Pelodiscus sinensis: one gene and its partners. The protein of the gene in region 1 interacts with the protein of each later gene in a pairwise test. Links are inferred from orthologs where the notes say so. Each region holds a gene or a part of one and is shown in the gene's direction. Other genes may lie near its edges.

The links.
Region 2: the proteins of LNX1 (region 1) and CEP72 interact in binary tests that used the Homo sapiens proteins (3 or more experiments, as listed by UniProt). The link is inferred for Pelodiscus sinensis from reciprocal best matches to the Homo sapiens genes LNX1 and CEP72.
Region 3: the proteins of LNX1 (region 1) and EIF4H interact in binary tests that used the Homo sapiens proteins (3 or more experiments, as listed by UniProt). The two-hybrid records come from large-scale screens. The link is inferred for Pelodiscus sinensis from reciprocal best matches to the Homo sapiens genes LNX1 and EIF4H.
Region 4: the proteins of LNX1 (region 1) and MEMO1 interact in binary tests that used the Homo sapiens proteins (3 or more experiments, as listed by UniProt). The two-hybrid records come from large-scale screens. The link is inferred for Pelodiscus sinensis from reciprocal best matches to the Homo sapiens genes LNX1 and MEMO1.

What each region holds. Positions count from the first base shown.
Region 1 is NC_134715.1:85,860,874-85,868,443, forward strand, and holds the start of LNX1 (E3 ubiquitin-protein ligase LNX), read left to right. Parts: upstream 1-4,416; 5' UTR 4,417-4,572; intron 4,573-7,570.
Region 2 is NC_134712.1:145,501,556-145,509,769, forward strand, and holds the start of CEP72 (centrosomal protein of 72 kDa), read left to right. Parts: upstream 1-4,778; 5' UTR 4,779-5,027; coding exon 5,028-5,088; intron 5,089-5,902; coding exon 5,903-6,030; intron 6,031-7,699; coding exon 7,700-7,892; intron 7,893-8,214. UniProt on the Homo sapiens protein: Involved in the recruitment of key centrosomal proteins to the centrosome.
Region 3 is NC_134731.1:24,656,062-24,663,981, reverse strand, and holds the start of EIF4H (eukaryotic translation initiation factor 4H), read left to right. Parts: upstream 1-4,781; 5' UTR 4,782-4,881; coding exon 4,882-4,937; intron 4,938-7,920. Other genes in the region: MYBBP1A (myb-binding protein 1A), read right to left, coding at 509-667. UniProt on the Homo sapiens protein: Stimulates the RNA helicase activity of EIF4A in the translation initiation complex. Binds weakly mRNA.
Region 4 is NC_134713.1:134,287,504-134,295,150, reverse strand, and holds the start of MEMO1 (protein MEMO1), read left to right. Parts: upstream 1-4,550; 5' UTR 4,551-4,629; coding exon of another isoform or gene 4,630-4,690; intron 4,691-7,647. UniProt on the Homo sapiens protein: May control cell migration by relaying extracellular chemotactic signals to the microtubule cytoskeleton. Mediator of ERBB2 signaling.

The sequences.
Region 1 (7,570 bases):
TTTACTCCTATTTAGTGCAATATCTCATACAAAAAATGATGAATTGTGCAAATATCACAAATAACTGTAAAAGGGGTACAGCATATCAGTGAGTAGCCAATTGTACCAGCTAATCTTGCATTTCATTTTCTAGGCATTTCTATTTTAGAATAAGGAAAGTAATGGAACAAAGAATAATACTGAAGTCTACATGATAGCATGCTGCATCCACTCTACCTCATAAAATAACTACTGCCTCTGCAGACAGCAGTTTTCCAGAAATGTAAAGGTATGGTATAGAGAAAATTAAGCCATAAATTATATAGCAACATATACACCACATAGTTCATTTCAGCTTGGTAGAGCCTGATCCAAATCCCACTGAAATCAATGAAAAGATTCCTTTCATTCCATGGGCTTTTTGTTAAAGCCGTTAGACCTGTACATCAAGACAAACTTTACTTCCCATAAAAATTCACATCACAGAAAATCTTGCATTATGCAAACTGCACTGAGATAAGCTCTCTAAAGTCATGTGTACACTGGCACAAAAGACAGCTAACTTGGGTTCCCATGGTTTAGGTTATGGGGCTAAAAATTGTTGTGTAGGTGTGCAGCTCAGTGCAGAATCCACCCTTCTACTTCACCAGGTGCAGAGCTCAGAGTCCACTCTGGGCCTGAATGTCTACCCAGCAAGTTTACAGCCCCAGCCCTGTGAGCCCGAGTCAGCTGTTCCAGGCTAGCCCTGGGTGTTTAACTGCTGGGTATACATACCACATAGGGCCAGTTGTGAGGGTCCTTCATAGAACTTCACAGTACAATGTGTTTTTAGTCTGGCATCACTAGACTAGTTGTTAAACGAGAGTCCGTAGTGCCATCTCCTAGCAGACTGGTACACCATGCTCAGTGGTCATGAGAGAATCCATAGTAAACTCCCTTTCCAACGTGGCACAATCCACCAGAAAACTATGCCCAGGTTTTTAAATCTGATTTAAAATGTTAATTCCCTAAAAGAAGGGATGGGTGAGGAGAATAGAAACAAAGACAATGGCTTTAAACCTAAAGCCGTTACTAAACTGGATGATGAGGGACCATTTCCAGACTTGTCTTTGCCCTTCCAAACTCAGTGGGCCAGATTCAGACCTGGTATGTATGGAAACAACTCAATAGAATCAAGAGATTTTTCCCCCCACATTTATGCCCAGAGCTGAAGGCAAATTTTGGCACTCAGGAAAATTCATCCCCGGGTTTGGACTTGTAGATAGCATCCAACATTGCAGAAGAGCAGTGAAGGGGACTGAAGAAATTATTATTCAAGTGACTTTGCATCTTCTCCATTTTGCACAGCTTAGCTCCATGCCCTTTCACCCTAGCCCAGCATAGAGTATTATAGGGACTGTTTTTGCCAGTCCAAAGTTACAGATATCTATTGGCTACAGTTGGAAGGATGGGCTGTAATAGTGCCCATCAGCAAGCTGCACAGATGAACACACACTGGTGTCAATCTGACCCTAGCCTCCATAGAATTTCCTAGAGAAAGTTCCGATGTGTGTGAGGAAAGGCAACTTCACCATTAAGGTTAGGAGAAACTTAAGTTGAGGCTGCGTGGGAAAAAAACTAATGCTCTCATCAGAGCTCAACACAAATAGCACCTATCCTATAACAATATTATCTAACATTTTGCTTATTACAATTTTCAGTAATTTGACTGGACTAATTTGTAGTATACTGAGTCTACACCATGTGCCAGTAAATATACCAGAAGCTGAAGTAACTTAACAGAAGGAAATGAATAACTGAATGTACACTATGCTGTCCTGATGTAAATACTTTCAGCAGTTTGGAAGTATAGAATGACTTCAATTAGAAAGGCTACACATTAAAATCAGATGTTGTGTGTTCAGTCAATTGATGCAAACTGTATAATGTGTTAAAATTAAAGACAGTAAAACTGTAATGAATCATTTTTGTTCTTTTGATTTTGCATCCGACAAGTGAACTTCTAAATCATTAGGTGGAATTTCATTAGTTCAAAGAAGCATCTAGTGTACTCAGCCTGGGTAAATAAGAGGCAGATTTAAAATAGGACCTCACATAAAGACACATCACCAGCCCTATGGCCCTGATTCTACAAAGCACTTAAGCATGTGCTTAATCATTGTGGAAGTCAAAGTATATGTTTAAGTCCCTTTGTTGAATAAGGATGGACTTAAGCACTTGCTCACAGTTAAGTATGTGTAGTTTAAATACCATTTTAAAACTCAATTGTATATAACGATGACATTTCATTAGTAAATATTTAGTTTAGGTTTTGTAGTGATTCACTGCCATTCAGTTTTTAGTGTATTTTGAAGGATAAACAAAGCATCTTACAGTATGAATCAAAGGACAGATGCAAAGATCCATTAGTCACAAACATTTTCATTAGTGACAACTGAATTTTTGTTTCGACATGAGGTAGAATAGCTGTAGAATCAGTGTTTTTTAATGAAAACATCTTCTTTTAATCTTTCTTAGGGAAAAGCAGGCATGCTGGAAGAGTGTTTATAGTGGGGGTTCTGAAAGCCACTCAATCAAACTGTAAACTCTGTGTATAATGGAAACCATTTCAAATCACAGGGTGCTGCAGCATCTCCCACACTCCTCGTTCCAACAATTATGAGTTGAAGGCCCTGTATTTGTAATGATTCATGTAATCACTACATTAGTTTTCTGCCAATGAAAATATTCTTTCAGACAAAAGAGATGTTTTTATTTTTATTGTAAACATTCATACGTAGTCATTTCACTGCAATGCTGTATACCTGTACAGCTTTTTATCTCTTTGATATTCATGGTATTTTCTCTTTTTTAATTTTTATCCATAAAATATACTCTTTTTTTGGTGGTTTAGTTGGCTTGCTTGCTATGGAAGAGTCAAACTTGAAATCAAGATTATGAAGTTTGCTCTTAATTTTTAAAAGAGTAGTCATTCTAGTTCTGATTCTTCATCTGCTGACTCCTAAAGGATTATTCTTTTAAATTGAATGTGGGTTTTGCATTATTTTCTTTTTGCATGGTTCTAAACTGAGCTATTTAAACCATTCTACTAGCAGCCTATAATTGGTCGCTAGCACTTGACCGAGTATCCTACTATCCAAGTGGATAATGGTTTTTTTGTTTGTTTCAAGTATGAATTGAAAAGAAAGAGAGATGTGTTTTGCTTACGTACCACTATCATATTATGGGAAAGGTACTGTGATGGTCTTTCAGAAATGAATATATACGTGTATTTTAATTGTGGTTTTGCTTTACAAAAATGGTATTCTAAATAATAGTCAGCACTTACATTGTACTTTTCATCTATTGCTACTGAAAAAACATTAGAAGAATTAAAAGCCAGTGAAATAGGTAAATATACCCATTTAATGGAGGATAAACTTTGATAGTTAGGATAAAGGAGACCTGCAAAGTGGTGGAGGGGGAGGGACAGAGGAGAGAGTGGAATAGATGTAGTCTTTTTTTGCTGCTGTATGTTTATATAATATGGCTTGAAAGGTCTCTCTCTCTTTTTCTCTTTCAAAAAGGCTTCTTTTTCATATTAGAAATAATCTAGACCTGAAACTCTCTGATGACTGGACATTAGTGAAATGGTGACATCTCAAGAGCCAAAAAAGTGCAAGTTGAACAATTGTGGGGGAGGGGGAAATGATTTCTAATAAAACTGTCTTTAAATGTCTTTTTTTTAGCTGTTTCTGCTAACACCTCTATAATTGCATTGACTAACATTATGGATATAAAGGAAGCTTTTGCTCAAATTCAACATCTTTGTCTTTTCAATTAAGGCCTAAGATCTTACAACATTCTCTGATTCTTCCCAGAGGCCCTTCAGCAAAAACAAGGAAAACCCATACCTGATATTTTGATTAGTTTTTTTTAAAGGGCCTCTTTTATGCACTATTAAGAAGCAGAAAAAGGGGTAAGTGATCTTATACATGATTTGTCTGGGAATCCAGCAAGCCAGCAGCAGAGCAAGGATTAGAACCTAGGATTCTAGGTCTGTGTCCAAAGCTCTCAAACTAAACTGAATGAAAGTTACATTTCAAAAGTTCAAAAGCAGAGCTAGGGTTGCTCAGTTTTTTCTGGCTTCATCTGCCTTCTTCAGGGGGAAACAAAAACAAAGTTTTGTCTTGAACCAGTCCACAGGTTTTCATTCAGTTGTTTTAAACCTGTACTAAAAGTTGATCAGATGGAAAAGCTATACTATAGTGAAAAGCACAAAAATCAAATGGAATGTATGTTGAAAACTAAAATCTACAAATGACTTTTGCTATCTGATAAGTCTGAACATGCAGGTGTGAGCAGCCTAGGGCCTGGTTTGCCAAAGCTTTAAATTGCTTATGAGTGTGCACTGAAGCTTGTCTTTTCTACTTTTTGTGATGTCAGGCATTTCCTTATGTGGTGCGACCAATAAGAGTTTTCTTCTTACAGAAATCAGACTGAAAGGTAAAACACCATTGTTGGGCAGAAAATCTGCCAAAGTTCATTAAATTACACCTGCAGGAATCTAGCAGCAGCAGCACAACTCTGTATAAATGAAAGTAAGACAGAAAGGTGAGTTTAAAACATTTTGTTCTGACTTTTAATCTTCAGTTGGCCACATATTTGTCTAAAAAACAAATGTGAAAGGAACTGATCATGTGAACAAAATACTGTACTCTTTTAGAGGAAAGGACAGTTTAAGGATCAATTAGTATCTCCGTCTTTATAATTATGAAATTACTTGCTACCATGGCCTCAGCAGTGACTTTTTATTACTTCATACGTTTAGTTCAATCTCTTCATAAATTAAAATGCTGATCAATTTCATAATCCATAGGAAAAGGCTTGTAACTTAATTGCAGTGTAACAGTGTTTCTTCCTAACTGATTTTAAAATACTCTTCTGGTTGGAAAGGATAGTATCAGCCTTAATCCACAAAATCTCTGTTTGCTAGTTGTGTTTTGTTTTGTATTTGTACATTTCTAAGTAAACTTTCATCTGTGGTAAAGTATGTTAACATCAAAATGATATCCCTTCAGATCAGAATGTTGAACTACCTTTGAAAAGATAAATTATTTAATTCAATTTGTGTTGGTTTGCTTTTGGCACATACAGTCTTCCACTGACTAACTTAATCTCACAGTCAAGTTTTAACTTAAAGCAACTAAAGTTTTTAATGATATAGCTGCAGACTGTGACCTGAATCCTTTACATAGTTACACTTGTGAATAATTTATGCATATATTAGCAGTCCCATTAACTTTTATAGGTCTTTTGACCTCTGCAAAAGTTCACAGGACTGGACCCTGTATTGGCACATACCTGCTAATGCCTCAATTTCAGCAAAGTATTTAAGCATGTATCTACATCCATCCCATTCCTGCAAAGTACTTCCAGAGATTTAGTCAAAGGGAGTTATCAGGTGCCTGGAGTGTTTTGCTGGGTTGGGAGGATGGACTGCTGAATTGAGGTCTTAGATGCATAGCTATCTCAGAAATATCATAAATAGAGTATTCAGAACACAGCTGCAGTAATTCATGCTTTCCATTTATTGGCAAACATATTGGTAACAAATTGTTCTCCCAGCAATAAAAAGAGCAAGACTGACCTTAAAAGTTCTCACTGGGGAGCTACATCAGTTGATTGTTATTTATTTAATTTTATTTTATTTTATTTTATTTTATTTTATTTTACACAGAACTGCGCTGTGGAATCCTATGTAAAGATTGAGGATCCGGTTTTTCCCTTGAATCTATTTGTATTTGCTCAGTCAAATTCCTACAGTACAACACCAATAGCTTGGCAGTTGTCCCAGTGAAATAAAACCTGTGCTTTATATTATCATCTATTGTTAAAACAAAAAAATCACTGATCTATAAAATGGAAGGCTAGGATTCACCACTGGGTTATATAAGGCATTTGAAAGGATGCTTTCTTTGAGAAGTTCTACACTAAATGCTCTAATCTGCTTTTTTCCTGAGATAATATTGGAAAATTCTTCTCAAGGAAGTAATCTGTTAATAATTTATTATCATATACTCTTTCACCCCAAAACTCTGATTGTATATTTTCCAAAAATATAAATTGAAACAAGCTGTCTGTTAGCCTTCTCTTGCCACCTGAAAATATTCCTGCCTCCACTGTCAATTCCTTTCACTCACTTGGGACTCATCTTGTTCTGGGTTCCACAAACATTAGTGCTATTTAGAGGTTTGTTCTTTGCTTGTGCGTTTGGGCGTTAACTGCTGCAGTGCTTTATCGTAGCACTGCATTAGAAAAAGAGAAGGCCCTTGACTCAATATCGTGCTTATTTATCAGAGCTGAAAATTTAAATTTCCTGTGTGAGCATTCTGAAGAGTATCCAGTATCTCTCCTAGGATAACATTTTTGTACAAAATGCCAATAAAGTACGCTCACAGGATGAGATGGTAGATAAGCTTCATTGCATTGTAGAACATTGAATTACTTTGTTGAATGTAAGACTATCCAATAGCTCAACGTTTTTTTCAAGCAGGAAGACAAAGGGACAAATTCCAAAATGCAATATTTCAATATTACAGGCCCTCTACGGGAAGTGAGGGTGAGGGGTAAATAGGTCAGTTGCTCTGGGGCCTGGGGCTCAGTGACAGCAACCAGAGCCCCATGTCCTTTAAATCACTGCTGGAGCACCGTGCATGCACTCCAAGCAGCTCTAAGGGCTGGGAATGGCCAGCATGGTGTGCTCTGGGTGGCAGTCAGAGTCTTTAGTCAGTACAGGCAGTCCCCGAGTTACGCGGATCCGACTTACGTCGGATCCGCAGTTACGAACAGGGCACTTCCTCTCCCTGGTCTCGAGCAGACCAGGGAGAGGAAGCAAAGCGGCGGCGGAACGCGCGGCCAGCTGTTAGCTGGCCGCGCGCACCGCTCTGCTTCCCCCCCTCCCCCCCCCCCGTCTGCAGACCAGGGGGAGGGGGAGCAGAGCGGAGCACAGCAGAGCGGCGGAACGCGCAGCCAGCTGACAGCCCAGACGCGTCTGGGCTGTCAGCTGGCCGCGCGTTCCGCCGCTCTGCTGTGCTCCGCTCTGCTCCCCCTCCCCCTGATCTGCAGGGGGGGGGGGAGCAGAGCGGAGCACGCGGCCAGCTGACAGCCCAGATGCATCTGGGCTGTCAGCTGGCCGCGCGTTCTGCCGCTCTGCTCTGCTCCGCTCTGCTCCCCCTCCCCCTGGTCTGCAAACCATGGGGGGGGGGGGGAAGCAGAGCGGAGCACGCGGCCAGCTGACAGCCCAGACGCGTCTGGGCTGTCGTTCCGCCGCTCTGCTCTACTCTGCTCCCCCTCCCCCTGGTCTGCAGACCTGGGGGACGGGGAGCAGAGCAGAGCAAAGCCGCGGAGCCCGAGGGCAGCAGGATAGCCACGGCGCGTCTGGGCTGTCCTGCTGCCCCTGTGCTCCGCGGCTTTGCTCTGGACGCCTGTGGTACAGCAGCTGGGGCGCTGCCGGTTGGTCCCGTAGCGCCGCTCTGGGTGCCACTGGACCAACCCAGCAGCACCCCAGCTGCTCTGCCCCAGGTGTCCCCTAGTCAGCAGCTGCTGAAAA
Region 2 (8,214 bases), on another chromosome or scaffold:
CAGCTCAGGCTCCATGGCTAAAAAAGCCAAGTTAACACACAAACAAAAGAACAAAAGAAACAAACAAACAAATAGACGAAAATACAAACAAAGAAACAAAAAACCAAAAAAGCCAAAACCCAAAGAAACACACAAACAAACACAGAAGCAAACACAGAAGCAAACAAATAAACAAACCAGAAAATAAACTGCTGTGGTGTCCGAGAAAGCAGGGCAACCAGAGCCAAAAAAACTGCAGCAGCTTTGCTTTCCCTCGAGGAGGTAGGCAAGCCAGAAGCAGGAGCAGAGCACCGGCTGTCCAGGAGGATCACTTTAAGCATGCGTCTCTGCAGAGAGCATGCTGCAGTGCCTGGGCTTTAAGGCTACCTCTGTGACCTTCCAGAAGCACTTCTGGGTGTCTTCTTCAGTCGACAGACCGTCCCGCGGTCAGGATACTCTTTGTCGACAGAAGTAGTCTGGATGCTCTTTGTCGACAGAAGTTTTGTCGACAAAACTTCTGTCGATGGAAGCCTGTAGTCTAGACGTACCCTAAAAGAATAAAAGAGCTGTTGTGGCAATCCATTTTCAGTAGTCTAACTTCACTTTCCACCATTGCTTAGAAAGAGATGGAGGGGAGTGCTGATGCAAAGGCTAGCCATTTCAAGATGGTCACATACAGATTTTCTTTTACAATGAAATAAAAAATGTGATCAAGCAGCAACTTTGAAAATTTCAAAATCTCATCTATCTCAAATTCAAATTTATTAATATTGAACTTCACTTGAGGTATTAAACAAAGTAAGATTTATAAGCATTCGTCTGTGCTGAATTCATATATCAGAAAAATATGCTGAGTCAGAATCATATTGATCCAGTTCAAAATCAATGCAGTCCAAAGTTAAAATAGGTCTCTCATAAGCAATATTCCATGGCTAATTACTTCTTAGATAGCTTATCTTTTTCTAGTGTCAACAGAACAAATGTTTTTGGAAAATCATTTACAAAGGCTAGTGAACAAGATTGTTAAAAAATGTAAGAGCAGATCAAAAGGCAGGAAGACAGAGGGAAAAATTCTGCTCTGATACACACCTGACACTATCTCATTAAAATTAAAGAAATGTAGAGGGTAGAGTGTAAGCCAATGGAGAATGAAACCCATTGTATTTAAGGACATTAGTATGGTCAGAAGAAAGCAAACAGATAGGATTATTGTTTTCTGCTTTTAGCTTCTGTTTTCTTTTCCTTTATTATTTAATAAAAGACTCATTGCAAAATCTTAATTTTGTTTAGAAATACATTATGCACGAGGTATACTTTGCACAATTACATCAATGCATCCATATGACACTGAATTTTAGTATATTTTTTCTCATTTTGTTGATGATAAGTTTTTTTCTCCATCCAAGTTGTATTCTGACAATTCTTTTAGCCATTCCAAATATACTAGAGGGGTGTGTCTAGACTGGCAAGATTTTGCGCAAAAGCTTGCCAGCAATCTACACTGGCCGCTTGAATGTAGTAGACAGGCACCTTAATTTTTTGCGCAAGAAAGCCCAATGGCTAAAATGGCCATCGGAGCTTTCTTGCGCAAAAGCATGTCTAGACGCTCTTTTGCGGAAATACTTTTAACAGAAAAACTTTTCCGTTAAAAGTATTTCCGCAAAATCATGCCAGTCTAGACGCAGCCGAGATGTTTTAGATGTTTATTTTGGGAGAATTTCTCATTTTGCTACTACAGGTTGCAACTACCTAAACCAGGATTCTCTGGCCTAGTTTACACTGGAGCAGAAGGTCGACCTAAGATACACAACTCAAGCTACGTTAATTGGAGTCAACATATCTTAAATAACTGTCCACAGAGTGGGAGGTCAATGGGAGCAAATACTCTTATCAGCTTCCCTTAATCCTTGCAGGAAGCAGGAGTATCAGTGCTGACAGGAGTGCCCTCTGAGTTCGATTTAGTATGTCTTCACTAGACCTACTAATTCAAATCCCAGAATATTGGCCATGGCAGTGTCGATATTCCGTGTAGTGTAGACATGCCCTCTGGTCCACAGATGTTCTTGGACCAGAGAATCCTGGAGCTGGAAGCCCTGCCAGCCAGGAGCTTGGTGGCAGGGAGGCTAGTGGCTGGGAGCTCTGCCAAGTTATTCCTGAAGTTGCAAAGTGACAATGAGGAGGCATTCAGAGAGGTGCTGAGCACAGTGGAACACAACCTTTGGGCTCAGGAAACAAGCATCGAGTGTTGGGATCACATTGTCATGCAAGCCTGGAATGATAGCTGCAGAATTTTCGGACGAGGAAAACCACTTTCATAGGATTGTGTGCTGAGCTTTCCTCCAACACAAGGACACGTGAATGAGAGTTGCCGTGCTGCTGGAGAAGCACGCGGTGATCACACTGTGGAAGCTGGGTATTCCCGACATCTTTTGCTCAGTTGCCAATCAGTTTGAAGTGGGAAAGTTGATTGTTGGACGCATGTTAATGAAAGTGTGCAGGGCCATCAGTCTCATCCTACTCTGCAAGACTGTGACTCTAGGCAATGTACATGAAATTGTGGATGGCTCTGCTTGGATGGCTTCCTGAACTGTGATGGGGCAATAGATGGCACACATATTCCAATTCTGGCACCAGACCAGCAAGCCTCCAAGTACATTAACAGCAAGGGGCATTTCTCCATGGCTCTGCAGGCACCTGTGGATCGCTGTGGGCATTTCACAGACATTCGTGCAGGCTGGCCCAGAAAGATGCATAATGCATGCATCTTTTGGAATACTGGCCTATTCAGAAAGCAGCAAGTGGGGACTTTCTTCTCAGACAAGAAGATCACTGTGAGGGAAGTGGAAATGACCATTGTGATTCTTGGAAACCCTGCCTACCCCTTAGTGTCATAGCTCATAAAGCCATACTCAAGGAGCCTTGACAACAGTAAAGAGCAGTTCAATAGCAGGCTGACTGTGGAGTATGCTTTTGGGTGTTTGAAAGCCTGCTGCTGTTGATTGTACAGGAAGCTGGACCTGGACAATGACAACATCTCTATGACTATTGGCATGCGCTGTACCCTCCATAATATTTGCGAAAGGAGGGGTGAAAGCTTCACTCAGGCCTGGACTGCTGAAGCTCAGCGTCTGGAAGCTGAGTTTGAACAGCCTGAGACCAGGGCTATGAAAGGAGCACAGAGTCTCATGTATTTTTCTATGTCTAGGTTTCATATGCAGCCTTGCTGTGCAAGAGGGCCTGCAGTTCATCAGAGCTAAACCTCATGGGGATGGGTGTTGAGTGCATCAGGGAGGGGCCTGTGGGAGTCTGCATGGATGGAGATTGAGGGAGTAGATGTGGAGTGTGGTGGTGGTGGCCAAATTGTGTTGGCAGTGATGGAACGTGTATGGAAAACAGTTTTGGGACACCGGCTGCAGGGGGTGGGGGAGGCATTTGCACAGCTGCTCTGTCTGAAATGCTAAATTGCACCTAGAGTGTTTCCACTTACTACTCCATAATGTTTAGGTTAAGAGCTACTCTGTGCTTTCTTTCTGCTCCCTCCTCTCACTGTCCCTCCACTCCTTCAATTCTCTCAGCAGCAGTGAGACTCAGGATGTCATGCAAAAACTCCTCTCAAGTCTTTTGGGGCCATTTTCTTGCTTTGTGAAGCCTTTCCACAGGTGATATCAGTTCAGACTAGCATGCCAAAGTTCAGCTCTGTCAAGACAAATCTGCAACACTTACAGAGGGTCCATTATTGACATTCCATTGTTCACATTCCTAGCATTGACTCACTATCCTGGAGTGAGCATACATAAGATACAGAATCATACAATGGTGAGTTCATCTCTAGGGCAAGGGAATTCCTTGATGCATGGGGGCAGGAAATTTCTTGGTGCTGAGGAACAGGGGTTTTCATTGGTGCAGGACCCTACTGTACTCTGGGCAGGTGTGACTTGGAAACACCACTGTGTGGGGGCCTAATTGTTAGTAATAGTCACTCAATTTCCAAAGGCTGTATTAATCATGGAAGACATTTCGCTGCTTAGGGTGAGCAGGGAAGCAAACAAGAGTCTTCTGGGAGACTGCAGGTTCAATCCAGGACCATACATGGTGGCTACGTCTAGACTGGCATGATTTTCCGGAAATGCTTTTAACGGAAAAGTTTTGCGTCTAGATTGGCACGGACGCTTTTCCGGAAGAGCACTTTTTGCGGAAAAGCAGCCATGGCCAATCTAGGCGCACTTTTCCGCAAAAAAGCCTCCATCGTCATTTTCGCGATCGGGGCTTTTTTGCGCAAAACAAATCTCAGCTGTTTACACTGGCCCTTTTGCGCAAAAGGGACTTTTGCCAGAACGGGCGCACCCTAGTATTTTCGCAAAAAGCACTGATTTCTTACATGAGATCATCAGTGTTCTTGCGGAAATTCAAGAAGGGAAGTTTAGACAGCTGGCAAGTTTTTCTGCAAAAGCAGCTGCCTTACCATTGTAAACACCTTGAAAGTAAGCGTGACAAGGGCTGATTTTCCTGTGCAGTAACGTGCAAATGCAGACTGCGCCTCAGACAACTCAATTGATTTTGACAGGGCTAGCAAAAGGCGTATCCCTGACACCAAGACCATGTCCCAGCGAATCCGCACAGTCCAGCTGCACATTACGAAGGCGGTGGAGCTTCTCTATAGCGTGGCCGGGCAATGCTGCTACTGGGCAGGCTCCGCGGCCCCCACTAACAGAATAGTTCAGTCCATGCCCAGAGAGCCAGCAGCTCGGTGGAGGGGAGGCCCTGCTAAGGCTCTGGCCGAGGGCGCTGCTGCTGCTGCACGACGATCGCAATGCACCTCCGCGCAGGCGCACAACCACGCGGCATCCGCAGCACGGCCGCGCGCCACAGGCTGCGCCCCGCAACGAACTGACTGCGGGGCCGCTTCCCGCCCGGCCTCAGAGCGGGCAGAGGGCGCCGCCCGGAGCCCCCGCCCCCTCCGCAAGCCCCGCCCCCTCGCGGTATCTATTGGCGCTTCCGGCGGGGAGCTGCAGCAGTATCTCAGCGCGCATGCGCAGTGTTTGAACGCGATGGCGGCGGTCACGGAGGAGGCCATTCGGGAGAGAGTCAATCTGCGGCACCAGAACCTGGGTAAGCAACTCCCCTTCCGCGGGCGCTGCTGCTCGCGGTAGCAGGCGCCCGGAGACGTCAGCCCCGCCCACACGCCTCTCCGCCTCGCCCTGGCGGTTAAAACCGTTAATCCGGCGGATCGCGGCGGGGCAGAAAACAAATAGGCGGGGCTTGTGTCGTGGTCACGCCCCGAGCACCTCTGACCAATGGGAGGGCCCGATCTCTGTTGTGGCTGCCCTCGGGCTCCCGGGTTCTGTGGTCCAGGAGCATCCAAGGTTCTGCCGGATCAGGGATGTTGCTGGCCCAGAGAGTGCTGGAGTTTGGAGTTACTGCCTGTGGGTATACTCTGTACACAAGTGGCTATAGATGGGATCTGATTGCAAGAAACAATTTATAGGGGCACCCCTCTTTGGCCACTTGTGACTGTCACTAGAGTTGAGAATAGAAACAGAATGCTCTTTGTGGGCTTGTCCTCTGTCTTCCTGGCTCAGTTACCTTGCAGACTGCCTGGTGGGAAGCAATACAGATGGAAGTGTATTATCTGCTTTAGGTCCCCTTTGCACTTCTACCAAGCAGCATACCCCCAAGAAGTTTAACATTTTCCCTAATAGGCATAAGGAAGCCAGTCCCTACTGTTTTTAGTTCCACTTGTCAATGATAAATATTTCTAATTCACGGGCACACACAACGCTAAAAATCATAAAAATTGAACAGCTTCATCCTGCATTGTCTGTCACATCAATAATCAGGTAGATTTGAAATTTATTTTAATAATTTTAGTAATTTCATTTTTCTTATGATAAATATATTCAGGTTTTAAATTTTCTCATTGTAGCTGATGTCCGATCATTGTCTCTTCCTGGAACTTATCATGAAAAGATTACTCATTTAGGACATTCTCTGAAAAATTTCACTCGCCTAAAATCCTTAGATCTCTCTCGCAATGCATTGGTTAGCTTGGAGGTATGTTTATCTTAATTTTTTAAAATTATTTTTTAAGACAAATGTAACAAGAATAGGTTGGCTCTTGAAGTCGTGGAGAAAGGACAAGAGAATTGGAGGAGTTGTATTGAGGGTTTTATGGAGATTGGAACAACATTGGGGGAGGATTTTGTTCTTTGCAAACCTGGTACAGGTTGAACCTTTCTTTTCTGGGACTCTGGTCCAGCAACATCCATGGTCCAGAAGAACTGCGGATATTACTGGACCAAAGAGCTCCTGGACCAGAGAGGTCCCACTTGTAACTTTTTTTTTTAATAAGGTAAATGTTTCTGCATTACTTTGGAACATTGGTAACAGCATATAGAATGTTTTATTTCCACATGACAATTTTGATCTAGTTTGGGCTAAGAATGTTAAGTATCAGGTAATTGACTAATCGAATAGTTGATGCATTTTTGCATCAGCTATTTGATTAGTTGATAGGGTGCCTCCAGCACTGAAGTATAGCAACTGCCCCAGGTGAAAGTGCCTGTGGCGCTGCCACTTTGAAATGCTGCAGCGCCGCGTGGAGCCTGGGGTCAGCTGGGGAGTCCCCAGCTGACCTCAGGCTCCATGCGGTGCTGCCACTTTGAAGTACCCTACTCTTCTTCCCCCCCTTGTTGCCTCTGTTATAGAGGCAGCAAGGGGCGGGGGAAGCGACTAGTTGACTATCTGATAAACGTTTGCTTATTGGATAGTCAACTAGTCCTTCACATCCCTTGTTTGGGCTAGTGGTCAAAAATTATTTTCTGTTGGTTGTTCAAAAGCACTGTGTATAAAATCATAAAATCGTTTGTCTAATTCCAGATGGGTGGGAGTCCAGATTATAATTGGTACCCTTGATAAAAGTCTCAGCAAAAGATAGCACAGAGTCTGAACTAATGTATGAAAATATAACACATTGCCTTTCTCAAAGATACTTCAGCGGTTTGGTATAGTGAAACACTAATTACCAAACCTGTATTATACTCCTTTGTAGTTGAAGCAGGATAATAGATTAAGTACTGTCAATCCATCACCTTTTTCTGTTGTGGCTCTGATCTTAAAAAGACTTACGCTCATATTTAATTCAATACATGAGTTCATCCAATGCCCCTGGGACTCCCTGTGGTTAGAATTAAGCACGTGCTTAAAACTTTGCAGGATGAGAGTATAAGTGCAATTGCTTCTCTCAACCCTTTTTTGTGAAGAACAGCAACAATATGCTTAACTCTACAGAAGTCTGAGGTATGAGCATAGCTAGCACATCATAGCTAGTTTAATGAAACCACTTTCTGCTGCTAATATGTAAAATACACTAATGAAGAAAATTCATATCTGTAGCATATGATAGCTTGAAGAACTCAGATTTGTGTCAGTATTTGAGGTGCTCAATTAGTATTTTAAATTCAATAATTGCTCATCTTGCTCAGCAAAAGTTTTAATTTAAAAAGTGTTTTCAGTGTCATTAGAATGAGGTTTTTTTTTTTTTTTTTTTAGACCAACATCCCTTTTCATATAGACCACCAAACTACTACAGGCAGATAGAAAAAAGTGCTAAGTCACTACTTGTCTGGCTTTGATTTATACCAGTGACCTAGTGTATTTCATTCAACAAAAACTAAGTTTATATTACAAACTAATATGATTTTTGTTTTCTATACATTAACAGGGTATTCAGCATTTGATATTTTTAGAAAAGATCAATCTCTATTACAATCACATTTCATCACTATCAGAAATATTTCGACTTCATAGTTTAGCTGCACTCAAGGATGTGGACCTCCGCCTGAACCCGGTAGTAAAAAATGAGTCTGATTATCGTCTTTTTGTTGTGCACATGCTTCCTAACCTTAGACGATTAGGTAAGTAGGTGAACTCTACAATTCAGAGGTTCAAACCTGAACTTGTTCTTGAAAATACATATAACACCTATAACACTGTGGTTTTGGTGGTATTTCTTAAATGTATGGAACAAAATTTTGTATCCCTCCACCTGGAAAGCCGGGTGCCTTTGTTACCATAATAATGGCTAACTAAATGGTCAGTAGGACTTCGATACTTTTTAAAAAATGTATAATTCTTAATATGAAAGAATATTACTATATTAGATAGGAGGGCCAGTGTATAGAGAGCTAGCCTGGGACTCAGGAAACCCTGCTCTGCTATAGGCTTACTTGGTAACTT
Region 3 (7,920 bases), on another chromosome or scaffold:
CTCACGTTCCCACCGAGACTCCAGCCCTCTGCACTCCCTAAATTCCCACCAAGACCCCACCCCTCTGCACTTTCCAAATCCTCTAGACACCCCCACACATTCCTACCAAGAGCTTACACCCCCTGCAATCCACAGTTCTCTGGACACGTCCCAGCTTCCCACCGAGACCCCACCCCTCTGTACCCCGCAAGTCCTCCGGACCCCACCCCTCTGCGCCCCCCAAGTCCTCTGGACCCCACCCCTCTGCACTCCCAAGTCCTCTGGATACCCCCTCACATTCCCACCGAGACCCCACCCCTCTGCACTCCCCAAGTCCTCTGGACACCCCCTCATATTCCCACCGAGACCCCACCCCTCTGCGCCCCCCAAGTCCTCCGGACCCCACCCCTCTGCACTCCCCAAGTCCTCTGGATACCCCCTCACATTCCCACCGAGACCCCACCCCTCTGCGCCCCCCAAGTCCTCCGGACCCCACCCCTCTGCGCCCCCCAGTCCCTCCGGCTCTGACCTGCTCGCTGGCCCGCAGGTACCGCAGCAGGCTCTCGGTGGCCGCCAGGCGCACCTCCTGCTGGGGCTTGGCGATGTCCCAGAAGAAGTCCAGGAACTGCCGGTTCTGCTGCAGGGTCCCCCGCGGGCCAGCGGGGCCCGGGGCCGGCGCCGCCTCCATACCGCGCTGCCGCCGAGCGCTCCCCAGCCACGCCGCAGCCAGAGCCGCACGTGGGTCCCCGGGTCCGCCTCTTCCGGGGGAGGCTCGCAGCAGCCGCGTGTGCTGCCCCTGGGCTGCCCGGCCGTGCCCGGCCTTTCCCGGGGCTCCGCGGGAGCCTGCCCCGGCCTGGGCGGGGTTGGCTGTCCCGGTGGAAACTGCCCCGCTGGATGCGAGGTCTCCAGCGCCACAGCAGAGCGGCTCCCCCCGGACCTAGCTCACATCTCACTCCTCTCGCCTCTCTTTGGGAAGTCACTCCCGTGTGCCAGCTGGTCCCAGCTCCTGCATGTTCCCCCCCAGAGCAGAGAGCACCGGTCACCGCACCTGGCCAGACCCCATAGGCTACGTCTACACTGGCACCCTTTTCCGGAAATGCTTAAAAAAGTTTTCCGTTGTAAGTATTTCCGGAAAAAGCGCATCTACATTGGCAGGAAAAAAAAGCACTTTTTCCAGAAAAGCGTCCGTGGCCAATCTAGACACGCTTTTCCGCAAAAAAGCCCCCCATCGTCATTTTCGCGATCGGGGCTTTTTTTTGCAGAAAACACTACTGTGCTGTCTACACTGGCCCTTTTACGGAACAGTTTTCCGGGAAAAGGACTTTTGCCCGAACGGGAGCAGCATAGTATTTCCGGAAAAGCGGCTGATTTCTTACAGTAGATTGTCGGTGCTTTTCTGGAAATTCAAGGGGCCAGTGTAGTCAGCTGGCAAGTTATTCCGGAAAAGCGGCTGATTTTCTGGAACAAGTGGCCAGTGTAGACACAGCTATAGGGTTGCCAGTTTGGGTTAGTTGTATTCCTGGAGATCTCATCATATGACAGTCTTTAATGGGAGATTCATCTTTAATTCCTGGAGATGCCAGGTCAATCCGGGAGGAGGGTTGGCAACTCCAGGCCAGGGCTGTGGGAAAATAATGGAGTCTCTTGCTTTTTAGCAAAATTATTGTTTTTTTCCCCTGGGCCCATCCAAAAATCAACACTCTCATGTCCTTAAACCAGTGTTTCCCAAATGGTGTTCCATGGACCCCCAGGGTTCCGCGAAGTGAAAATAAGGGTTCTGTGAGAAAATTCCATTACAGTGACATTTTATTATTTAAAAAAAATTAATATGTGATTTTTGTTTTTAAATATGTGCAATTGAACTAAATGTTGATCTCATGATCTTGTTTAGCATTTGTTTATCATTATCCTTACTTATTTGTGGTCTGCTTTTTTAGTTCTATATATTAGGGGTTCTGCAAAATTCCTTCTAGTTTAAAAGGGTTACGTGGCCAAACCAAATTGTGAAACACTGCCTTGAACTGAGCTCAGTAAGTATCCACTGATAGGCTAGGTGTCAGATATTGACAGACATGTTTTAAGGAGCCATTTAAAGTTTCTCTTGGGAAATGTAGGGTTTTGCTGTGGGCACTTCAGTAGAAAATGCTTAAAATGTCATGGATTATTAATTTTAACACCTTCCCTGCACACACATCTCTTCATTTAAGTTGTCTCACGCATGCAAAATCTAGATCTCATTAATAGGCAGATATCCCTGGCTCCGCACTTGGGGAGGTTCTGCATTTTAGGGTAACCTGTCAAGTGATTATCTTGTCCCTCTTCCTCATGGGCCTTTGCATCCTTCACTGTTCACAATCGCCCACCCATATCACCATATGTACATATTTCCCCATAATTTTTAGGGTGAATGATCCGTCCTGTTTAAATTCATGAGCTATTCATGAGAGGCCTCACACAAGCATATGGACCAGCAACTCATAGGAGATAACTGGAAATCAAGAACCAGTGATGTAGGATCAACATATTTAATGTATTGTTTAAATTTTCTAGAACTACACATTCTCCATTTCATGAAACTCTGCAGAACAACCAGTGTCAAAATCTGAAAAAAGTACACACGCACTGTAGGATCTTCCTATTGGCACCTGACTTAGACTCTATTAATTACAATTATGAATATAGTCCATGTCTCCTGACCTAAATTTGAAAGTAAGATTCTCTAAAACTAGCTGCTGTGTAGATATGGATATTGAGAAAGCTAGCCTCTCAAATGCTTTTGAAATATGACAGCCTGATTTTGTCTGGGTCAGACATTAACCATACCAACAATCAATCAGACTGTGGAAGAATCAATATGTCGTCTACTTCTATAATAAAACCCCAAAGAGCAGCCCAGTTTAAAAATAAATAAATAAATAATGCAGAGGATATATCTTTAAAGATATTGGAAGTTTCTCAGCTAGAATCCATTATCTTCCCTCTCAACATTACCACAAAGAATGAGGATAGGTTCCCACCCAAGATGCTATTTACCAGGAAGAGCTGTCCAATAAATGTATAGTGTCATTTTTCCTTTTAAAATTTCTTCTCATCGCCTGTCTGCACAGAGACAAGAGACTGTACTTTGTGTTATGCTGTTAGTGATACCTAGGCAAGGCATTCTAGAATTTAAAGGCATTCTAACAGATTCATATTTTAAGAGGGATTCAAATCTTGTTATTTTAAATCAAATGTCCTAACTTTGGGTTATTATCTTAGATTATCTTATTATTATTTTAGATGTGAAAACGTTTGTAACATCGAATGCTTGTCACAATTTATGCTGTTGATTTTTACATCACACTCAGGTTGCGTGGCAAAAATAGAGAGTAGTTAGGGTCTTTTTAAAGGTCATTTTCTAGTTTGTGTATTTAGTAGGGTGCTGCAGTGTTTGTGTTGCTTTTATATCTAAAAAAACACCGCCATTTCTATGAATTGCAGAATTTCTTTCCAAAACCAAAATGCCAGAGCCTTGTGCTGCCTGATTGCATTTCTTTAAAAGTACCGATTGAGTACACCAATGCACTTGCTATAAATACATTTTGTGATGATAGCCTGAGCCCTGCGGATGAGGACAGTAAACACTTCCCATGGGTCTGCATACAAGCTGGAGTCAGGGGGCCCAGCACCCTGGCTCTGTGGCCCATAAGCAGGCATGCTGGGTAGCAGCAGCTAGCTGCATTGAGCTCCATGGATGGTGCACACAGCCTGCGTATTGGGGGAGGCAACACACTAATCCCTATGAGACAGACACAGGCTGGAGGGGGCAGGAGGCTGCGTTGGGCCTTGTGTGTCTGGCACAGTTTGGGGGAAGGGAAGGAGGCTGCCTGCATTGGCCCCTGTGGTGCTGACAGGCTGGGGGGGCTACATTGACCCCTTTGGGGCTACCCCAGGTGGGGGGGAGGAGGCTGCATTGGCCCCTATGGTGCTGACACAGGCTGGGGGGGCTACACAGGCTCCTTTGGGGCTACCCCAGATGGGGAGGAGGCTGCATTGGCCCCTATGCTGCTGACACAGGCGGGGGGGGGGCTACACAGGCTCCTTTGGGGCTACCCCAGATGGGGAGGAGGCTGCGTTGGCCCCTATGGTGCTGACACAGGCTGGGGGGGCTACACAGGCTCCTTTGGGGCTACCCCAGATGGGGAGGAGGCTGCATTGGCCCCTATGCTGCTGACACAGGCGGGGGGGGGGCTACACAGGCTCCTTTGGGGCTACCCCAGATGGGGAGGAGGCTGCGTTGGCCCCTATGGTGCTGACACAGGCTGGGGGGGCTACACAGGCTCCTTTGGGGCTACCCCAGATGGGGAGGAGGCTGCATTGGCCCCTATGCTGCTGACACAGGCTGGGGGGGGGGCTACACAGGCTCCTGTGGGGCTACCCCAGGTGGGGGGGAGGAGGCTGCGTTGGCCCCTACGGTGCTGACACAGGCTGGGGGGGCTACACAGGCTCCTTTGGGGCTACCCCAGGTGGGGAGGAGGCTGCATTGGCCCCTATGCTGCTGACACAGGCTGGGGGGGGACTACACAGGCTGGGGGGGCTACCCCAGGTGGGGGGGAGGCTGCATTGGCCCCTATGCTGCTGACACAGGCTGGGGGGGGACTACACAGGCTCCTTTGGGGCTACCCCAGGTGGGGGGGGGGGGAGGCTGCGTTGGCCCCTACGGTGCTGCCCGAGACGCGGGAACAGCGCTGGGCGGGTGAGGGACTTTTTAGACAGGCAGCCCGGCGGGCAGCCGCGGCAGGGCGGGGAGTTTGGCGCAGGCAGCGGCGCGGGCAGCCCCGGGCCGGGCCCCCTATATAAGCGGCGCGGGGTCCTGCGGGCGCGGCCCTGTCACGCTCGCACGGGGAGGAGGCTGAGGCGGCGATGGCGGATTTTGATGCTTATGACGACCGGGCCTACAGCAGCTTCGGCGGCGGCCGGTGAGCGCGGGCGGCCGGGGCTCACGCGGAGGCGGGGCCCCGGCCGGCGGGGGGTCGCCGGGGCCTCCCGGGGGGGGAGGAGACGCGGGGGGGGCCCGGCTGGAGGGCAGACGTCGCGGGGTCCGGTAGGCTGGGGGGGGAGGGCCTGTGACTGGGGGGGGCAGAGCCCGCTGGCGGGCCGGGCTGGCGCGAGGAAGGCGGGGCGAGGGGCGCGTGCGACGGCGGGGCTGCTGGGGGCAAATGGGGCTGGGAGCAGGGTCTTGTGATGCCTCTGCAGCTAAGGGGACACGCCGCGGGGTGGAGCATTGTGACGCCTGCGGCTTTGCAGCCCCTCCAAGGGACACGGGGGGGGGGGAGCCCGCCCCTGTGGTGCGCGGCCTGCTGAGGTGAGAGGGGGCTTCAGGGATGGGAATCTGATCGCTGAGTCTGCAGGCCCTTGAGAGGCGCGTGGCTTCACTAAAAGAGGAGGCGGCCGCAGGAAGGAGCCTGACGCCCCGGGAGTGCCTTGTGCTGTGTCTCTCCAGCGCCTCCAAACCCTGCGGAAGGATAACGGGGTTCTTTAAGTGTGTCTGAAACGAAGTGACTTTATTGCCTTTAGACTAACATCAGTCGACTTCTGCAATGCTGCAGGGAGGAAGCAGCTACTATTCCGCTGTTGTGCAGTCTGTTCGGCTCATAAGGATTAATTAAAATGTATCGTGTTTAGGTTGGGCCACAGCTATGTGTAAGGGGCATTTTTATCTTATTTTTTTAAAATAAAACTTGATTGATAAAATGTAATACCCTCTAATAAAACACTTCGAAATGTCAGAATTCCTTTTCACTAGTTACCTGTGTTCCTTTTTGCCCGTCTGTCATTTGGCACAGTACAAATGGATTAGTTTCAGTTTCTGGTTCCTGTGTGCTAGTGCATTGGATAGTAAGCCATGCATAGGGTAGTAATAGAAAGCCAAAATAAAACATTGCATTTATTATTTAGAAATGAGTGAATATCTAAGTTTTTTAAATTAAGTTACATTTTGTGCCTGAAGGATCAAGTGGTGTTGTGTTTCTCAAGCAAAAATCGCTTGAAGAATGTTTACAGTATTAGCTTATACCTCTTAGCCCGTGTTAGGTTTAAAGTTTATTTAACAATGATTTAGAATTAAATTCAGAATTTGTTGTATCAAACGTTGCTATTACCAGGTAATATGCCAACCTTGGTAACCATCTGAAGGTTCTATAGAAATCTCATGAAATAAAAATGAAGTTGTAACAGCTTCAATGTTCATCTTTCTCAGAAGTTTCAAATAGTCTTTAAATTTCTGAAATAGAATTGGTATATCAATCGAATAGCCACAGTGTTTGAGGGATACACATAATACACACAAGAGTAATTCACGTACAATGTTACTATTAACATAGTGCTATGCAATCCTGTTTCTCCAGAGGTAGGGCAAGTTTCTGTCCTAAAAAATGAAAATCTACATTAGGTTTAACAAAGGAAGGAACATTCTTACTCAGTACCTTTTAAGCAAAGAAAAGCTTAGACGTATTTTTACATTAAACTGAAATGTTAAAAACATAGCTAGCAGATCAGTAAATACAGCTTTGGGTGAGATAATACATTAACTTTTATTTAATAGAGCCACAGTCTTTTGCCTGAAACACTGAACTCTCAATTTAGTAGTTTTGTTTAATAGTTGTGCTACTTGAAAAACATGATCTCTTTAATTGTGTCTGATTGAGAGCGTTTACTAGTTTCCCAATGAAAATGACTGTTTAGTCACTGCTGACTCATAAGGCTTTGACTACATGAATAGGATGAGTATAACAGGTTACCGTCCTCCTTACTCCAGTCTCCCTTACATATTGAATTAATAGAAATGAAAGTTTGATGGAAATGAAGTTACATATTACTCTTTGCAATTCAAACTTAAGGCCTGTTTGTTAGGGATGTTAAATTACGATTATCTGACTAATCGTGTAGTCGATACAATTTGTATTGACTATACAATTAGTCAATAAGGACCGCTCTGCAGAGCCTTTAAAATGTGTTTAAAATGTTTTTAAAACTGTTTAAAATGAAGAGCCTCAGCATCCCAGACCAGCAGGAGCTGGGACTGCTCGGTCCCGGCTTGTACTGAGTCCATCAGCCCCTGTTTGCGGCAGCCAGCCCTGAACAAAGGCTTCTCCGGCCGCAGCCCCTGTGGGGGGGGTGAGGTGGGAGATAGCTACCTGCTAGGATCCCCACAGTCAGGGGCTGCAGCCAGAGCAGCTTCTGCCCATGGCAAGCCTCAGCCCACCATGGGCAGAGGCTGCTTTGCAGCATCCTCCCCCATCCCACCCCTGCTGCCTCTGATACTAACAGCGGGGCGGGGAGGGGATTTTGAAGCCGGCTCCCGCCAGCACAGGCTTCTGTTTCCTGCCCCCTTGGTGCCTCTCATAGAGGCAGCAAAGGGAGGGGAAAGTGCATAGTAGATACTCCAGTTCACAACTTGCTAACATCCCTAGTGTGTACATATACTTGTATAACATGGTGAGGGCATAAAATATTAGACACAAAGAACGGGGGGTGATCATATAGTTTTGAGAACCACTAATTTAGGAGAGAAATGTTCACCTAAGACAAAACAGAGATCTAAAACCTGATTCTTGAGAATAAAGTATTAGCAGGGCTCGACAAATAATACAATCTACTCGCCCGTGGCAAGTAGATTGTAACCCAGAAGAGCCAGGTTTGGGCGATCTGTGCATGCGCAGGTCACCAGACAGCGCGGCTGGCGAGCGGGGCTCGCCGCGGTTCAGCGAGCCCAGAGTATTAGATGGTAAAATTATTTCATAATGCAAATCCTTCTGACATTTTACTTTCATCAGTACAGGTAGACAGCTGGCATTCTGAGACCACTCCCTGTCATGGTGACTAAGGATGTTAGATATTGTTTAGCTGAATAATCATGTAATGGCACCAAATCTTAACAGTTACATGATTATTCAGTAGTCA
Region 4 (7,647 bases), on another chromosome or scaffold:
CAGCTGTCACTTGCCATCAGCATTCCAATCATTCAGCTGTTCTCATAAATGCTGATGTCAATGTCATCAACTAACTGTGCTTCCATCTAGGCCAGATTGAGAGAAACAAAAAGGTATCCTTTGCAAGGGAATATTGTTGAAGAATTACTGTTATTAAAGTCTCTTTAGGGAGGTTTTATGCAAGAGAAAAATTAGGAACTTGAGTCTACAAGCAATTAAACAATTTATAAGTAATTTTTAAAGGTTTTTAGAATTGATATCCAAGATATGTATTTCAAGACTGCATTCCTTTAAGCTTTTATATGTTAATTTTGTGTCACTTGATAGTCATATAGCACTTCCTTATACAGCCTGGGTTAGAAACAGTAGCTGGTTACTATTTTAAGATTCATAGCAGATGTATGCAGTGTCCAAAGTAGAGATCAGGTAGTCGGATAGAAAGTAATGGCATACTCCAGTTTCTTAAAGGACTTCTCTTTAAACTCTTCCAATTGGTATCTGTGAGAAGTTTAGCTATGTTTTACTGTACCAACCTATAACTGAGCCAAAACATCTTGTAAGCATTTTTTCTTAGGAAACGCTGGTTATGTCAAGGCTCTAAAGTGAAATGTGTATAGTAAACTTTAATTAATGGATTTTATAAACAAGTATGAAAAACAGAGGACACTCCAGGAAGCCTACACCAATTAAAATTGAAAAAAATAATCAAAGCAGCTAAAAGTTAGAAAAATTATTAAACCAGAAGATTGGACAAAAATGTTTAAAAAGTGGTACTTCTCCATAGTCCAAAGCCATTTCTCTACTGACTCGCGTCGACCAGTCCATCTTGTTATCAGACTGCTTGGTTAACCCCACAACTTGAAATAACTCACCTGCAGTATGCGTTTCCAATTGCATTGAAAGAATTGGAAACTGTGCATTGTGCCTTGAGATCTGTAATACGTCAGATGAGTCTGGGCCTAGCAACAATTGCTTCCCAGAAAGCCAATATCTTCTTTGGTTTCTAAAGTGGCAGTGGTAAGAAAGGATTTCCTACTAAAAGCAATTCCTGAAAGCTATCATACTTATCTACTTTCATTGCAGTTAACATCAACTTTATCAGGGTCAAGACTGACCACTTTAAGAATAGGCCAGACTAGAGCTGAGTTAATAATTGTGAAGGTTTTGTTGTTGTTCAGCTACCAAAACAAAAACAAACAAATTGCTTTGACCCCAAGTGAAATTTTGCTTTCTCATGGAAAAAATAAACTGTTTACCAAGTTAAACATTTTCTATGTTGACAGAATAGTTAATCTTAATATTTGTTTATTTTTTGTTTGCCTAAAATTATTTGCCAAATTCTACCTGCAGTTATACATAACTTTGTATTGAAAAAAAATGTTTTGCTAAATTTACTATTTGCTGAAAAAATATCATCCAGAGACAGTAAATGAAATTCTTAGAAATGTAATGCAGTACACCTACAATGAAGGCAAATGGTATAGATAATATCTCTGCTGTACTTTGTTTAAAGTACAGGGAAGTACTTTTTACTCAAATTACAAAACACTGGTTTCTTTGGAGAAAAGTTACGGGCAATATAAAATTGGGTTTAATGTGGAAACTTAGCTTCAATTTTAAATATGGAGTTTCTGCTACTGCTTCTGATATATATCAAATCTCAATATTGTATGCCAGTAGTTGGAAGAGTATCAATACTTTGAACATACTCGCTGCTTTTTCACTACACTGTCTTTGACTTTCAAAGCTAAACCTATGTCACATTTTTTCCCTTACAATTTCAGGCAGAGACTGTTAATACAACTGGATTAAATATTTTAACATGGTCAGTTTTTGCATATAGACATACTGTGGTTCATGTGTTCTCTTTTAAGGTATGTATTGTCTTTGCTTATGTACAGGTTGAACCGCTCTGGTGTGGAACTCTCTGGTTTGGCAACATCTGTGGTCAGACAGGGTAGGGACGTTGGGCAGGTAGATGGGTGGCAGGATGATCCTGTGCTTCTATTTTCTCAGCACAAGATGGGTCTAGGTTACTGTGTTTTTTCTGAAGAAGTGTTTACTTCTTTGGTTCTTCTGTTAGGTCTTATTTGAGTGCAACATTGTTGGAAGGAATGTTACCTGGGGAGACTGAAGAACACCACACAGAAAAGCAGTCCTTTACTTTCAAAATAAATTAGTTTCCCTCCTTAGTATGACACATAAGACCCTATTTACATAAGACTTAAGAACTGTGCTTAAGTGTAGGTTAAACTTAGTTGTAGCTGAAATTTGCTAGAATTGAGGTTAGACCACTAGTGTGAATGGGATTAAAGAATTGTTTGGTGCCAGATTTTGATAAATTACTTGAGTGTAAATCTGGAGTAAATCCACTGATGATCATGAAGTAACTGTAATTTATATTTGTGTGGCTGATATCAGAAAATGGCCCAACATGTCCCACACTGCCCTGCTTCTCAAAGTGTGGCTCTGATTTGAAAAGTGACTATATTAAAATGGTACCTTTTTAATAGGAATGTGAAAGGTTAATGCATCACCCTTAACAAGTGATGCTTACTGGTTAACCGGTAGGGGCTGGAGCAACTCCCCACAGGCAGGGGACTGCTCCAGCCCTGTGGGGCCTGCCATGGACAAGGGGAACTCCAGTCCAACAACAGCAGCCAATCTGCAGTGGGCCTGGGTGCACTGCAGGCAGGGGTACTCCGGCAACCCAGAGCAGCCCCAGAACCACAGTGGCCTGAGTGCATTGCCGGCAGAGGCTGCTCTGGCTGTCCAGGGCAGCTCCTATCCATGGTGAGGGGGCCACAGGCAGGGCCCTCTACCTGCTCCCCCTTTAATCGGTTAAGCAATTAAATGGGATTTTACATCCCTGCTTCTTACTCAATGAGAACATCAGGGAAATCCGCTGATTTACATAACAACAACAAAAGTTATTTATTACCCTTTTCCTCCATTTTCGGTGATACTTATAAGACTAAAGGGGGTTTAATATAGGATCTTTTGTCTCCTAAATGCTGGTCATATTCAGACCATAAGGGTCATATTCAGAGTTTAGAGACACATGTCCAAGTGAAAACAGGGGTATGTATAAAGTGGAAGCCAAAGGGTAGAAGTGTATTTTCAAGGGTATGGGGCTTTTACTGTCTTTCTTCTACCACAATCCCAGACATTGCTTAACTGTTTGAGGGGAGGGGGCAGATAGGAACAGTGTGTGTGATTACAAACCAAAAACCCAATGTATCTCTTTTTACCCTACTCCGTGTACACTGCTGGTTAATCTGGGGTAGGTCCCTTGGGCCCATGATGCCAAATCTGAGGGTTGGTTAGAGAGCACGTAGTGCTTTGGGGCTAACCGGGGATGGGGAACCTACTGCCCAGGGGCCAAATCTGGCCCCTGGCTTGCCTGGATCCAGCTCCCCTCAAGTCATGGGGTTTCTCCCTGCAACATCAGGGAGCCCCACCCCAAAGCCTGGGGGGGGGGGAACCTACAAAATCTATGAGGCTGCCTACCCAGGCTCTGCTGTGCAAGGGGAATGTGGGGCTTGCCTTTCTCCTTCTCAGTTGGGAGGTGTTTTTGTGCAGCCCCAACTGATTTTTCTGTGGGTCAGCACCCCCTCCCCATCCCAAAAAGGGAAGGCTTCTGGGGTAAAAAGAGCACCCCGCACCCCCAAAAGGGAAGGCTTTTGTGGGTCAGCACCTCCCCCCCCCAGGCAAGGCCTCTGGGGTACAACGGTGACCGAAGAGGACCTCTGCTAGTGCCACTGCTAGGCCCTTGGGGCTGAAGCGGGGCGGGCTGCTGCCCCCGTGCAGGCGGGCAGGGGGGAGCGTTGCCGGGGCCGCACAGGGCCTCGCTTTCCGGCCTGCCTGGGCAACACAGGGCGAGCAGGGCCCCACAGGCCGGCCAAGTAGCTCTGGTTGGGGCGGGGCTTAGCCCGGCAGCTCCGCTCTCCCTCCCCCACCCACTTCTCCCGTGGTCTCGCTCCCCCAGGGTGCGCCCAGCTTCCCCACGCGCCCCTGCCCGCTAATCTGCCCTGCTGCCACCACAGAGACACCAGCCCGCCAATCAGCGAGGCCAGAAGCCATCACCACGGCAACCCTGCTGCTGTCCAATCCATACGGGTCCTGCCTGTGGTCTTTTACCTCCCTCCCCTCGTTCCGCTCCCCTCCAGCGGCGCGGTCCAATTGCAGGCCTGGTCGGTTCTGTAGGGCGGGGGGAAACGGGGAGAGAAAGGGCATCCAATCGTGGCCGGGCTTTTGCTTTCGTCACCCAATGGCGAGCCACTTGGCCCGCTTCTGGGCCCTCCCCTTTCCACGGGAGACGAGCAGGGCCAAACCCGGCTGCCGCGGCCTCCCCTCGCCCGAGAGCGCGGAGTAGCCGGCTCTTGCCTCGGGCTTTGTCCCAGGCTTCCCCCCTCCCGGGTTCGTGTCCGCGGCCGAGCCCGCGCCTACCCCTCGCAGCGCTTCCCCGTTCACCGCCCGGGTCCGCGGCGCCTCCGGCAGCACTGCCCGCCCCCCCTCGCGGGGGCTCGGGCTCTGCCGGGGGAGGAGGGGGGATTAGCGCTGCCGCCGCGGCCGGGCCCGTCTCCTGCCCCCTCCCCCCCGAACACCATAGGCGGCTCAGGCACCAAGATGTCCAACCGAGTGCTCTGCCGGGAGGCCAGCCACGCCGGCAGCTGGTACACAGCCTCAGGTAGCGGGGCCGGCCGGGCGCAGCCCCGGCCACCGGGGGGTGGAGGGGAGAAGGTGGGTGGCTGGGGCAGGGGGGCAGGGGGTTAGTGGGGCCGGGGAGCGCTGCAGGGTGCTACCGCCGCGGGCCGGAGCAGCTGCGGCCCCCGCGGGGATGTGCGGTGCGCGCCCGGCAGCTGCGGCCCTGGCCGGGAGGTCGGACTCGGAGGCCTTTTCCCAGCCCCGCGCCGGCTCTAGGGGCCCGGCTGAAGCCGGAGGCTGAGTCAGCGTTTTCCACCCCGGAGGGGCGGGTCGGCGTCGCGGCGACTCATCCTTGCGCCGGCCGTAGGGCCCCTTCCTTCCTCCCCGGGGTAGGGAGTTGCAGGCCCCGCCTCCGGTGCTGATATTGGGGCCTGTGCGGGGCACATGGCTGTAGCAGTGGCAGTTCCTTCCCAGGCTGCGGGCGCCCCCCTTCGTGCACACACCTCGGCCCCTGAGCCGGCGAGCCCGTAAGGCTGCACGTGCACTAAGTACCCTTATCCCAAATGAATGAGCTTTAAAACTGTGCAGCAAATCCCCGAGTGCGCCTGACGAGCAAGTTGTCTGGTAAAATAGGACTGGAATGATTCATTGTGCTGCCAGTGGCCTGGGCAATGTCGCCCCCAAAGCATTTAAGACAGTGCAGTGTGGTATGGCTAGGAAAGGGACATGCAAATTGACCCTATAGGAAAGTAGAAATTGCTATTCAAAATCAGACCAATGATCAGTATAGTTCAGAGCATATCTTCTGGTAGTGTTGGAGGATGCTGGGTACTTTACCAGTGTGAGAAACTGTATAGTGTTCAATTATGGACAATTATGGAATTACTAGCTGGTAAGAGGTTAGTCAAACAACTTTCTAATATGGAGATGTGTTATAACATGAAATAATGAAAGCCCTATTTAAACGTAGCTAAGGTATACTAAACGCATAGGTAAATGCTCAGGATGTAATGTGGTGCATGAATCTAAATGGACTAGGAGACTGTAGAACAGAAGAATATGCTGATGGCAAATCCTGTACTTGCTTGGGTGGCTGGATGACTTACTATATTTTCCTTTTCCTTTCTATCTGGGGAATGTTCTGTATTATCTGAAAATATTCTATTGAGTAATTCATCGAGTAATTCATTTAAAAAAGCCAAACAATATATTTGTTTGGCCCACAAAACTCTGCAGTTTTACTGGGGTAATGGCATAATGTAACCAAACATTTTCTCCTAGGTTGCTTTTGCGGAAAAACTTGCCAGCTGACTACACTGGCCGCTTGAATTTCCGCAAGAACACTGACTTCTTACTGTCTGAAATCAGTGCTTCTTGCAGAAATACTATACTGCTCCTGTTTGGGCAAAAGTCCTTTTGCGCAAAGCTTTTGCGCAAAAGGGCCAGTGTAGACAGCTGAGATTTGTTTTCTGCAAAAAAGCCCCGATCGCGGAAAAGCGTCCTTGTCAATCTAGATGCTCTTTTCCGCAAATGCTTTTAACGGAAAACCTCTTCCGTTAAAAGCATTTGGGGAAAATCATGCCAGTCTGGACATAGCCCTAATGTAGTAATAAAACTGGGTTACGTAGGTTGGGGATGCCTCTGCATCTCCTTCATATGAAACTTGGATATGCTTGCAAAGTGGAATATGTAAATGAATAGGCATAGCCTCTTGCTTCATAAAGTTGTTATCTTATACACATTATCTCACTGCTTAATTCTAATAGCTGATATGAAAACTCACAATGTAAGTGGATCATTAATTTTTTTTATAACTTGTGGCTTCTAAGTCCATTGTTTCTCTTCTCCCATCTCTTACTGAAAACCACTATTAAGATTGATAATGTAGAAACTCACTCTAAGCTATAGACTAGCTTTTATTTTTATGTTGATGCAATAATGCAAAACTTAAAATATTCTGATAAAATTTAATATTGTAAAAAGAGTAGTAATATTTTCTGCACATACACATCCTAATAACCCACAGTAAAGTTTGATGAAATAGATGTTCTATAGTAGCTAGAATCAGGGATCCTGTGGTACAAGCAAGGTACCATAGCAGAGTTTTGGCTGCATTAAAAAGAATCCTACAGGGTGAAAAACAGCATTTGTATTGCTGCTGTTTCTCCACCTAGCACGTTTTTAATAACATCGTGGGATAAGAGTAAAATGAAGCTCAACTGATCCTCCTGTATTTTTCCATTTCTTTCTGCTGGCCCTTTGGGAGAAATGGAGGGTGCAGATCCTGAGCTCATGGTGCAGGACTGATATGGTGAGAGACATTAATAATGTGTCTCTAATCCAATCTGTTATTGCACATTGCTTCTCATTGTTAGCAGTAAAGTGATAGACAGTGATCTGGTCAGTTTCATGCTGCTTCTGCTGGCACTTCAAAAATGTCTGCCTTCCCTGACAATCACCTGTTCTTTGCCATCACATATATGGCACAGAACAGGTGATTGTCAGGGAAGGCAGACAAGTTTGAACTGGACAAAAGGAAGCCTGATCTTGAGAACAAATTCTGACACATGCTTTTTGTAATGTTGAGGTCTTGGATAATTGAGGAGAGAAGACACAAAGATCAGGGAAATATAAGAGGAGGGAGCGATAGTGATATGAAATTAGTAGCTTGACATTTTAGTGGGGATATTTTGTAGCTGAGTTTTTTTATTTCTTGGAATCACTCCTCTATTTCAGTGTAGCCATCATCCAGATGGAAATTTTGTAGATGTGATACACTCCAGGCACAGACTTTAGATCAAATTTCAGTTACATTTGAAAATGTAAAATTCTAATGCTTTCCAAAGTGTTCCCCACAGACCCCCTTTCCCCCAAGTAATACATTTCTTTGAATATGAGGTTACATGTATCAGCACAAGTAAGGACATTTAAAACTTGTCTGTCTTTGCAACATAAACTTGCTCAGATTGCACATTCTGAATTAGGTTATCTAAATTATTA